3 linked regions of the Macaca mulatta genome follow. The protein of the gene in region 3 binds, or shares a complex with, the protein of the main gene of each other region. Links are inferred from orthologs where the notes say so. Each region holds a gene or a part of one and is shown on either strand. Other genes may lie near its edges.

The links.
Region 1: TMEM126B (region 3) and TMEM186 share a complex: the UniProt entries of both Homo sapiens proteins name them as parts of the mitochondrial complex. The link is inferred for Macaca mulatta from reciprocal best matches to the Homo sapiens genes TMEM126B and TMEM186.
Region 2: TMEM126B (region 3) and ECSIT share a complex: the UniProt entries of both Homo sapiens proteins name them as parts of the mitochondrial complex. The link is inferred for Macaca mulatta from reciprocal best matches to the Homo sapiens genes TMEM126B and ECSIT.

What each region holds. Positions count from the first base shown.
Region 1 is NC_133425.1:10,021,400-10,025,637, forward strand, and holds TMEM186 (transmembrane protein 186), read right to left. Parts: upstream 2,862-4,238; 5' UTR 2,837-2,861; coding exon 2,834-2,836; intron 1,808-2,833; coding exon 1,169-1,807; 3' UTR 402-1,168; downstream 1-401. Other genes in the region: PMM2 (phosphomannomutase 2), read left to right, coding at 3,105-3,170. UniProt on the Homo sapiens protein: As part of the MCIA complex, required for efficient assembly of the mitochondrial complex I.
Region 2 is NC_133424.1:12,245,188-12,248,804, reverse strand, and holds part of ECSIT (evolutionarily conserved signaling intermediate in Toll pathway, mitochondrial), read left to right. Parts: coding exon 1-111; intron 112-673; coding exon 674-897; intron 898-3,617.
Region 3 is NC_133419.1:86,220,349-86,224,746, reverse strand, and holds the start of TMEM126B (complex I assembly factor TMEM126B, mitochondrial), read right to left. Parts: upstream 2,862-4,398; 5' UTR 2,856-2,861; coding exon 2,775-2,855; intron 1-2,774. UniProt on the Homo sapiens protein: As part of the MCIA complex, involved in the assembly of the mitochondrial complex I. Participates in constructing the membrane arm of complex I.

The sequences.
Region 1 (4,238 bases), on a different chromosome or scaffold from region 3:
AGTGGCGCGATCTCGGCTCATTGCAAGCTCCGCCTCCCAGGTTCATGCCATTCTCCGGCCTCAGCCTCCCGAGTAGCTGGGACTACAGGTGCCTGCCACTACACTCGGCTAATTTTTTTTTGTATTTTTTAGTGGAGACGGGGTTTCACCATTAGCCAGGATGGTCTCGATCTCCTGACCTCGTGATCCACCCGCCTCAGCCTCCCAAAGTGCTGGGATTACAGGTGTGAGCCACCGCGCCCGGCAATAAAACATTCTTATTGACTTTCGAGTGGCAAAATAATAAAGATCATGCCTTCCTTCCTCTTTACTGTGTTACAAATTGCATAATGAACATGTATTATTAATTATGCAGGGCAATGCATATAACTGGCTTTAGTTTATAAAAGAACGTACCAGCATACGGTCCATTAGGCTTTATTACACTGCAGGGCCATCCAAAGCAAGAGCCTCTAGATCTCAGCGTGGTGAACAAATCTCAAATGGGGTTTCGTGCTCACTTGGACGACATCGCTGCTCATCGATGTGTAGTTAACATCCTGGCAGACCTTTCTGCTGCTGGATGTGTGAGGGGCACAGCACAGGGCTCTGGAAGTCCCTGCTGACTGCTCGAAGCCTTTCTCCATGCCAAAACCTCTGACCAAATGCTTAATGCTATCTGCTCTAGGCTGCTGAGTCTGCCACACGTTTGACATTTATTCCCACATCCATCCCACGAAACAAGCAGGGCTTTCCATTTTACAGATGTGAAAACCAAGGTTCAAAGAGACTCAATAACCCACCCCAGGACAAGTGACAGAACTGAGACTTCTGACTCCAAATCCTATGCTCCCCCACCACACCTCTTTGCCTTTCAATTTCACACCAATGGACTGTCTGGGTGACCCTGGCATAGGTTCTTCTAAGAACTGGCTCTTAACAAAAACTTCTGGCCGTTATCTGACTGAATGTCACACACGAGTGCTGTAAGAACTTGCTTAGAGCCTTTTTCCTAAACCTGGACACCAGCTCTTGCCTTGTGAATTTCTTCATCACAAAACACATGTTCCCAGGGGCCCAGGCAAAGTCTCCAAGTACCCAATCCCCTTTCTTCAGCTGTGCCCACACCCTCAGCCTTCCTGTCAATCCAGGTGACCCAGGGTTACCCAGAGGTCCAGGCCCCAGTTGTTTACTTGAACATCTGATGTCTCCCAAACACCTGCGTGAAACGCTCTCTGTCCAGGATGTGTCCATAGCGCAGGGTGACGTAGAAGGTCTGTTTCCCGCTGTACCGCTGGATACGCATGAACATCTCCTGAGGCTGGTCCTTGGTTTCTGTCAGGGGAATCACATCTGCCAGGGGACAGTATGTGTCCTGCCGCCAGCCCCAGAAGCTCAGATGGGCCACCCGCAGCATGGTGCCAGACTCATTCAGATACAGGATACCAACCAGTCTCCGAAAGAAATAGCTCATCCAGCACAGCATGGTCAGGGCAAAGCCCGATATCCCACTCATCAGGCACACGGTGTTGAGAGTCAGGAGGCCCTGGGAATACCAGTAACAGGCTGGTGGCAAAACTACCACTGTCAGGGCAGTCTGTGCCAACTTCAGTCGAGACAGGAACCCAAAGATTCTGATGGCATCAAAACGGTAAAACATCCAGAATTTCTCAGTCTCTTGGTTTGGTGGTTTCTCCTTCGAGGTGGGTGACCTGCTCCCCACCCACCTCTTAGGATCCTCCTGCCCACTGCAGCACCACAACCCATGGAGAGGCCTTTCCCACGCAGCTTTTCCCCGAAATCTAGGCACAACTCGGAGAAGGGCAGCCTGAAAGGGAGACAGTAGACGATTTCTCTCATGGAATTCAACCACATTAATCACACGGTGAACATCTGCAAAGCACCATACTCCAAGGCTTCTGCCAATCCTGCAAGGTCACCATTATTGCCAGAGGAGGGAAGGGTAAAGCCAGATGTTATCTCATGTGGGCATCACAACAGCTATCTAAGATAGTTATCACTATTTCCACTTTACCACTAGGGAAACTAAGCCCAGAGAGGGTAAGATATTTACCAAAGAACACACAGTCAGTGAGTGCAGCAGAGTCCTCCTTCCATCAGGCAATTCCAAAGAAATACAAGAAAGGAGGTGCGGCCATCAATAATTCAAAACATATCTAGGGAGTCCCAACTCTGGGCTGGACAATGGATCCACAAGGGGGTGTGAACATTTCCCCAAGCAGGAAACTGAATAATCAATGTCTTAGTGGGGAACTCAAGCAACAAATCTGTGAGATAGTTATCCCAACAAACTTTCTAATTCTGTTTACGTTATCTTGGGTGCTGGAGGGAACTGCTGCTTTCCCTTAACCTAGTCAGGGGAAGGGGAAACAACGAGGAGGAGGAGGAGCGAGGCAGGGAGGCCCCTACACGTAGCACAAACATATTATTAGGTGGGTAGTGAAGCAGTAAAAGCTCTGGTTCCAATTCTGGCTCCATCAGTCACTACCTGTGGATTCTTGAGCAAATCACTCCACACCCCTGAGCTTCGGTTTCTTCGGCTTTCAAAATGGGGACTCAGAACACAGTGAACGAGAAGATGGTTTCAAAGCCCTCAACTTAGTACCTGATGCGCTGTGAGAGCTCGGCGAGTTTTAGCTATTACTACTGTGAGCACGTGACGCAAGGAGGGCAGAGAAAGCCCGGGAATGGCGAATGGTAACCCACGCCAGAGCTTCCTCCCACGGATTCTTCAGGTCCGAAACTCAGGCGTCGTGCCTGCCTGCCCCAGCTCTGACCCCGACCGACCCCCAAAGAGCATCACCCCCTCAAGGATCGCCACCAGCCTCCTTACCATGGCTCCACAGCCTGCTGCCGGAAGTAAGTCCCACCGGCCCCCGGAACCTCTAAGAGCGCATGCTCGAATGTACAAGGCGGGCGTGATCCGCGTTGCACCCTGGGATTTGCGGTCCAGGAATCGTGGCTGGCGCTAGTCCCAGGCGTTGTGGGAACGGAGTCTCCTCCTCTTCCCGACGTGCCCTGCGGCTCGGGGGCCGAACTCGGAAGTTCCGGGCCGAGTTCCTGATGCCAATGAGTCTTGCGAGGTGCGGTTAGACGCTGGGGACATGGCAGCTCCTGGCCCAGCGCTCTGCCTCTTCGACGTGGATGGGACCCTCACCGCCCCGCGGCAGGTAAGTGGCGCCCGGCGGGCTGGTGGCAGCCGACTCAGAGTCCGTGCTGTTCCCAGTTGGAGCTATCGACTACCCAGGGTCGGCGCCAAGGGCTGGCTAAGGACCGCCTGCGTCCTCACGGGGGCTGGACCCTATTCTAGGTGCCCTGGAGGGATGAGAGGGAGGCCCTAACCAGCTCTTCAAGAGCTCTGATGCTTGGAAAGATGAGACGGGGCTGAAGAACTCTTAAGAGAAGGAAACTTATGCTTGGTTGGAAAATGCAATCTGGACTCACCGCTAGTCCTCGGGACCGATGGACCAGGATTTGAACCCGACATCAGCTGTGTGCCCCTTATCAGCTGTTTGCCGGCCTCAATCCTGTAACCAATGGGCTGTGCCGTGAGTCATTATATTAAAAACAGGTTTCCAGGTGAAATCGACCTAGTGGAGTCTCATCTTCACCTCTTCACAGCTGTGTGACCTTGAGCAAGTCATTAACCTTTCTGAGCCTCAGCATCTACAGCTTTAAATGGGGATATTACGTGTTCCATATGGTGACTGTGAGGATCAAATGAGATTGTGTAAGTTCTTGAAAGTATGTTGCACACAGCACACTAGGCCTCAGTAAATAGTAACCACCTCCACCACACCCATCTCCAGCCCCTGCAGTGGACTAGGAAGATGGAGGAGCCCTAGGTTATTACAGGCTGCCCGCTGAGAGCCTCTTTGGGCCTTTCGAAACTTGCTTTCCACTTCCAGATTTTGCTGCTACAGGCACAGATAAGTTTCAGTCACTATCAGCCTTGAGATGAGGCTTTCCTGTCCCCTTTTCAGAAATTGGCCACTGACAACCGGCCATTTCAACTTGAGAGTGGACCCCAATGGTCTCACTATCCTCAACTAATATCCTCACCCCTCGTAGTCTTCGCTTGGTGGTAACAATGGTGTGCTCCAGAAAGCCACGTGAAATGCGTGTGACCTTAGACGTATCATTTTGCCCTTGTCAGCCACAGGTTTGATCTACCTAGTGATGACACTCAACTCCCAAGTTCTTCAAAGGCTTTTTCTGATTCTGAAATTCAGCTATCA
Region 2 (3,617 bases), on a different chromosome or scaffold from region 3:
TCTTCCCCAAAGAGGTCTTCCGGCCTCGCAACGTCATCCAGCGCATCTTCGTCCACTACCCTCGGCAGCAGGAGTGTGGGATTGCCGTCCTGGAGCAGATGGAGAGCCACGGTGAGGCCAGGAGGCTGGCGCGGGGTGGGGAGTGGGCTACCCTGATAGCTGGCAACACCTCTCCTGGGTCTCAGCCCCTCCTTCCTCCATGGCTCCCTCTCTGTCTCTCTGGCTCCCCTCCCTCTGCCAATCCATCTTTTCATCACTCATCTCTCTTTCTTGCCTTCCTCTGACTTTTCCTTCCTTCCTTCCTTCCTTCCTTCCTTCCTTCCTTCCTTCCTTCCTTCCTGCCTGCCTGCCTGCTTTCCTTCCTTCCTTCCTTCCCTCCCTCTCTCCCTCTCTCCCTCCGTCCCTTCCTTCCTCTCTTTCTATCTTTCTTTTAGAAGTAGGGTCTCGCTATGTTGCCCAGGCTGGTCTCAAACTCCTGGGCTCAAGCGATCCTCTCCCCTTGGCCTCCCAGTGTGCTGGGATTACAGGCATGAGCCTTTTTCTTTCTAATTCTCTCTGATTCTTTTCTCCCTGTCTGTGATCAATTCCCTGACTTCAATGTTCTCTTCTCTCCTCTTCCCTTCCCTCCGTCCCCCTCCGTCTCTGAGGTTCTGCCTGCATCTGCCCAGCACAGGTGTGATGCCCAACAAGGAGACAGAGTTCCTGCTGATTCAGATATTTGGACGCAAAAGCTACCCCATGCTCAAGTTGCTGCGCCTGAAGCTGTGGTTCCCTCGATTCATGAACATCAACCCCTTCCCAGTGCCCCGGGACCTGTCCCAGGACCCGGTGGAGCTGGCCACGTTTGGCCTGAGGCACATGGAGCCTGACCTTAGTGCCAGGGTCACCATCTACCAGGTATCCGCCCTTGTCCACAGCCTCAGCTGCCACCCCAGGTCAGGCTCCCACCGTTCCTCCTCCAAGCTCCCCTTCTCTCACTCTAGTGACTGTGGTGAATCAAGTTCTTTTTTGAGACAGGGTCTTGCTCTGTTGCCCAGGCTGGAGTGCAGTGGCACTAACTCGGCTCACTGCAGCCTCTGCCTCCCAGGCTCAAGCGATCTTTCCACCTCAGCCTCCTGAGTAGCTGGGACTCCAGTCTATTGAGTAGCTGGAGTCTAGCCTCCTGAGTAGCTGGGACTACAGTCCAGCTACTCACTCCAGCCTCCTGAGTAGCTAGGACTCCAGTCTGAGTAGCTGGGAGTCCAGTCCACACACCACCACGCCTGGCTAATTAAAAAAACTGTATTTTTTACAGAGACAGAGTCTCACTATGTTGCCCAGGCTGGTCTTGAACTCCTGGGCTCAAGTAATCCTCCTGCCTTGGCCTCCCAAAGTGCTGGGATTACAGGCATGAGGCACCGTGCCTGGCCGTGAATTAAGTTCTGATTCTCTGGCTGAGTCCTCTGGTAGGTTCCCATGGTCCTTACTGCTGGCACAGCTTGAGTAACCTCTGTTTCAGTCCTTTCAGGCTGCTCTAACAAAATCTCTTAGCTTGGGTCATTTATGAACAACAAAAATTTATTGCTCACAGTTCTAGAGGCTGGGAAGTTCAAGATCAAGGTGTCACCAGATCTAGGTCTGGTCAGGGTTTGCTCTCTGCTTGCTTCAAGGATGACACCTTCTGGCTGTGTCCTCACATAGTATAAGAGGCAAACAAGCCCCTCAGACCTCTACTGTTTTTTGAGACAAGGTCTGGCTCTATTGCCCAGGCTGGAGCACAGTGGCACTATCTTGGCTCACTGCAAATTCCACCTCCTGGGCTGAAGCCATCCTTTCACCTCAGCCTCCTGAGTAGCTGGGACTATAGTTGTACACCACCACACCCAGCTAATTTTGGTATTTCTTGTAGAGATGGGGTTCCACCACGTTGCCCAGGCTGGTCTCAAACTCGTGAGCTCAAGCGATCCACCTGCGTTAGCCTCCCAAAGTGCTGGGATTGCAAGCATGAGCCACCATGCCTGGCCCCCTCAGACATTTGTTTTCTTTTTTGAGACGGAGTCTCGCTCTGTTGCCAGGCTGGAGTGCTGTGGTGCCATCTTGGCTCACTGCAACTCTGACTCCCTGGTTCAAGCAATTCTCCTGCCTCAGCCTCCCGAGTAGCTGGCACTACAGGCATGCACCACCACGCCCAGCTAATTTTTGTATTTTTAGTAGAGACAGGGTTTCACCATGTTGGCCAGGCTGGTCTCGATCTCCTGACCTCATGATCTGCCCACCTCAGCCTCCCAAAGTGCTGGGATTACACGCATGAGCCACCATGCCCAGCCCAGACCTCTTTTATAAGGGAACTAATCTCATTCATGAGAGCAGAGCCCTTATGATCTAAGTGCCTCTCTTCTCAAAGGCCTGACCTCTTAATCCTATTGCATTGGAGATACACTGCAACATGAATTTCAGGGGGCCATAAACATTCAGACCATAGCACCCTCCCATCCTTCTCCCAACACTTGCTACCTTCTAGACATCTTCCTTCTTTTCTGTGCCAGTTCCCACCACAGGCCTTTGTGTTCTCTGTTCCTTCTGCCAGGAACACTGTTCCCCGTGGACTTCATGTTATTCCGGTCTCAGCTCCACTATTCCTAATCAGGATGCCCTTCCTGACCTCCCTGGCCAAGGCACCACCCCTTCACAGTGCTGGGCTTGGTTCCTTATTCACCATGACTCAGTCTCCCTCCTGTCTCCCAAGGCTGAGCACAGGATTTGGTGCAAAGCTGACACTTGGTAGTGGCTTGTTGAATGACTGAGTGGAGTAACACCCCCATCTCAGTGTCCTGGGAGTCTCCACTCATGCCAGATCACATAAGGGATCCAAAGAGAGCCCCTCACAGCACTTGTCATCTGGTCCTGGATGGATAACAGTTTCCTTAAGAGCCAGTGGTTCTGAGATGGAGAAGCCTGGGGCGCTGTGGGAGCCCAGAGTGGGCAGGTAGGGCTTCCTGGGGGAGGTAAGGAGAGCAGAGGACTCTGGGCAGAGGGAGCAGTGTGTACCAGGGAATGGGGTGCAGTGAGTGGGGGCACCTGATTAAAGAGCTTGATCTCAAACCTCCTGGTTGGTGGGGAGAGCCATGCCAGGGGCAGGGGGCGGGGATTTAAGAAGAGGGATGGGCTGGGCACGGTGGCTCACGCCTGTAATCCCAGCACTTTGGGAGGCCGAGGCGGGCGGATCATGAAGTCAGGAGATCAAGACCATTCTGGCTAACACAGTGAAACCCTGTCTCTACTAAAAATACAAAAAAATTAGCCAGGTGTGGTGGCGGGCGCCTGTAGTCCCAGCTACTCGGGAGGCTGAGGCAGAAGAATGGCGTGAACCTGGGAGGCAGAGTTTGCAGTGAGCCAAGATAGTGCCACTGCACTCCAGCCTGGGCGATAGAGCAAGACTCTGTCTCAAAAAAAGAAAAAAGAGGGATGGGGTTGGAATCATGTTTCTGGAAGAATCTGCAATTGGAAACGTGTCTCCTGGCGGCTGTGTGGATGATATTGGACGGGGAGAGGGGCTAGGAGACCAGGGTTGTAGGTCCCGGTGAGAGACACCTTGAGACCAGCAGTAGAATGTGGGAGGAAGGGTTGTTTTTAGTTCA
Region 3 (4,398 bases):
TGTTATTATTTTTTATTTTCTTGCTAAACATCCTACAACACACAGACATTGGCTTTCTGATTCACACACTAACTTGAGAAATTGGTAGTATAATGATTATCTCTATACAGATGAGAAACTGAGGGTCTGAAAGGTTGGCTTGCTTAAGATTTAGTTTAGAGGGATAACATACTGATACTGTTTCTGTTTTCCTCTCTCCTCATTCTGAGAAGGCAGTCAGGCCCTTTGTAGTTGTCCTCCTAGCTCTTCAGGTGGGGAGGTGGAAACAATGGCTGCTTATTGACATCTCTATCCTCAGTTTCTCATGAAAGACTGAGTTCATTTTGGAAATCGTGTTTCATTTCCTAGAGAGGTAGGAGAGAGCAGGGATTGCCTTGGAGAACAGTGAGAGAGAAAAATCAGAAAGAGGGACACTGCTTCAGGAAGGGAACAGGCAGTAGATTGTGGCTACTACTTTGAAGTACATAAATTACATAACCAGTTCCCTATTACCACCTGTGGTGGAAGCAGAGCCTTTGCTAGAAATGATTATGTAGTATAGCAGAGACCCACACCTGCCACCACACCTGGCTAATTTTTGTATTTTTACTAGAGACGGGGTTTCACTATGTTAGCCAGGCTGGTCTCGAACTCCTGACTTCAAGTGATCTGCCTGCCTCGGCCTCCCAAAGTGCTGGGATTAAAGGCGTGAGCCACCGCGCCGGGCCCCAGAGACCCACAGCACTGGGCTCCTTGGTTGGAAGGTTCTTGTGTCCCAAGTGTGATGAACAGACAGCTGCCAATGTCAAGGGACCATGAAGACTTGGCCAGTAGCATCTTAACAGAAACTAGAGAGATTAAAAAACAAAACAAATCAACAACAACAAGAAAACAAACCCTGCACTCTCAGACAGGATCCTTTCTGAATGTTTTGCTCTGGGCAAGACTCTAGAGTTTCTGTGAAAAGTCTTAATAACATTTGTTAAATCCAAACATGTAGTTGCAAATGTTTACCTACTACAGCAGCCAAGTGGAAAGTCTATTGCCGCTAAATTCACTGCTTTTTACTTTTTTTCCTCCAGATTAGCCAAATAGCCTCTTTACAAATGTACACTAATCTCAATTTTAACGTTTATATTGAAGGCAAATACTAAATCTCAAGGTTAAGGAGTCCTAGACAAGAGGATTAGAGGGGATAAAGCATAATGAATACACAAAATACTTCATAAATCAGTGGTTCTCAACCTTCAGCATGCACAAGAATCACATGGGGTATTTATTTGAAATGCAGTCTCATGAACTCCCTCCTGAGATATCTGGATTCAGCAGGAGTAGGATGAGGCCTAGAATCTGCATTTTAATAGCACCGAGTGCTTTTGATGCTGTAGTCAATGGACACATATTGAATATTACCGTAATACTCATTTGCTGAATGAGCGGTATGTACCAATCCTAACTATAGAAGGGCCAGTTGATTATACACGGCTCCTGGCATCAACATACGTAAGTTATGAGCTTCTTTGAACCTTCTTATGGCATTACACAATGAGTAATAATGGACCAATTTCTTTCTCTGCATCATCGCAGAATTGTACTCAATCTTTTTCTGTAACATTTCTGGAGAGGGCAGGGGGAAAAAAAAGTAAAATATTTTACAAATTACAATTTTTCAGTGACTAGACTTACATCTTTTTCCTCTCCTGGACACCCAAATGGAAAGTATAAGGGATAGTAACATCTAAGGGAGATTCTATACCTAACCCATCTATTGTACTAAGATGGCAGATGTCAATAACATGAGTAACCATAAACCTTACATAAATTTTTGTTTTGCTCTCATCCAATTCACTGAAGTCCTCCACCTTCCACCAAAAACAAAAAACAAAATAAACTTCCAGGCAATATCTTCTACTAATCTCCTACCTAGTCTACACCCTAAACTCTCTATAGGGAAAGCAGACACCCAGGATTATGATTACAGGATAGCAAATACTGAAAAGAACACAGGAAATATTATTGAGTGCTTAAGCTTTGCAAGGCACTGTCAAAGAATCGACTGCTTTCATTACACCCCTCCCCTCTTAAGGCCACTCAACTAGTCACCACGCTTATACCAGTAAGAGTGGATTATAGTTTGCAAATCATTTAACGGTTTTGTAGTGCTTTCATGTGTATTATTTCACCTAATAATACATTTTTCACCTAATAATAAATTTCAACTTTAGAATTTTATTCAGTATTCTCTCATAATTTAGGGAGCACCTGGTATATGCCAGGCCTCCGAGTAATCAAGATACAGTCATCCCATCCTCAGGAATCCACAATGTAGTGGGAGTTCAGAACAAAAATGCTGGCAATTTAAACACAGAATGAGAGAGTGACATAAACGAAAAACCCAACAACCTAAGAAAAGGCAAACTTAATCTAGCCAGAGGAGGCGTGGGAAGGCTTCCCGGAGGAAGTGACATTTAAACCAATATCCTAAAGAGAACAATTTGGCAGGGGAGTTGGGACGGATAGAAGCAGGGAAATATTCCAAGTTGAAGAAAAAGCCTGTGCAAAGGCCTGGAGACAAGAGAAAACAAACCGCAGATAATGAGTACTAGAACTTAGGTAATCTACGTTCTCTCCGCCTCTTTCCACAACAGCTGGAGACTTAATCGACTGCTCCTTGCATGGACTTGGGGGCTGTTTTAACTTTTCAAATCTCCTTTAAGTGTATCATCTTGGAAGACTCTGCCAACACTCTGAAGCTGCAGAAATCACCCCCCATACCACTTCGGATTTCCGCCTACCTTGGGCGCTTCCTCAGTTACCACCGGCACCACACCTGAATCCCTCAGCTTGGCCCCAGCCTCATACCCGAACACCGCCATTTTGATGGCTCACGTGATTTGCTGGTGGGCGGGAAGTGGGGCGGGTTTACGGCTCATGCCTCTCGCTTGCAGCCCGGGCCCGCCCCCCTCAGTCAAAAGCCGCGCCCTCCATCCTGTCTGTGATTGGGCGCGGTGTCTAGAAATTAGGGCCACTTATTCGCTTAGAGGAGGTCCAGGTGCCTGTGGGTCCGCCCCCATCGCCAGCAGAGTATTTCCTTCCCTTGCTATTTGTCAGTTTAGCTCCCTGTTTTCCTCGCGTCTTGCGGAGAGGATGGGGCGGCCCAAATGCTGGAATGTTACTGCGCTCCTGCCTCTCCTCAGGGCACCTCTGGTAGCTGGGAACTAGCTGCCTGCCCCTTTCAGTCCTTGAGGGAACTCGCCCCTTTGCCCTGGCCCGTGTGGTGTTAAAGCTCTGTTTCTCGGGCACCTCCTCCTCCAAACCCCCAACCAGCCGCCCAGCGCCGTCAGAGCAGCCCCGACTAGCCTCCTCCCCTCTCAGCCGTCTGACTCCTCTCCCCAGTCTGTAGTCCCCTCAATTTCCATCCTTTAGCCCCGCTTGGAAGGAGACAGGAGAGAAATTTGCCCACTACCCCCCGAGAAGACCCACTTGTCAGTCGTGTCTCAGGGTGGGGGGCACTGCAAGGCCTGGCGCTGTTTTGTGCACGTTAAATGCCCAGCAGTATCTCCCAGACCGGCAACCCCCGACCCTCCAGTCTCCATGTCTTAGAGAAGCCAAATTCGAGAGTTATATAATTTCTAGTGCTGCTGTTGCTCCTGCCTGAAGAAACACTTCATCGCGTGGAGGGTGCAGGACATTTCAGTGCTCTTCCCTAAAAGAACGGGGCTTGGGCAGGGGTGGCCAGCGGTGGCAGAGAAATGTCTTGTCTTTTCTGCAAAAGGAAGGTGGGTAGTTTGAAGAGAGATTGAGAGAAAAGGATGTGGATGTGAAAGCCAAGCAGCTGCACTTTTTCATTTTGAGGAAATCGCGGACCGTTTGCATAGCTTATGCTTACATGTCTAATACTACTACGGCGTCTCTGAAAACACCTTTGGGGGAAGGTTTGGCTTCTCTCGAAGTCTCAGTGTTTTTCCTCGCCGGATAGGGAGCTGCTTGGATGCGAAGAGATGGCATGATGTGAATGACTCCAGTGTGAAGAAATCTGCTTCGCCAACTCATCCTGCATCAAGTGCCCATTGAGTAGCACTGTCACTTTAATGTCTCCATGCCAAGGGATTGCTTTCCTTTTTTTTCAATCCTCTCTGTTAATACATGGGAGGATCAGAATCAGAGGTGCATTAAGGATCAAGCCTGGGGGCTTGGAGAGCACAGAAGAAAAAAATGAAAGTGACAGCAAGCTGGATTCTGAGTTACTGAGGGGGTGAGATCCGGAACTTCTGATCAGTAAATAGAAGGGGGCCTTTCGGTGTGTGTTCTGCCACAGAAAACTGTTCAAACTCACCTATCTTTTTAGAGACTGGAGTCAAAGAGGTTTTTAAAAGTATTTTTTGGGAGGTGGGGTTAAATTTTTCTCTACATATTTGA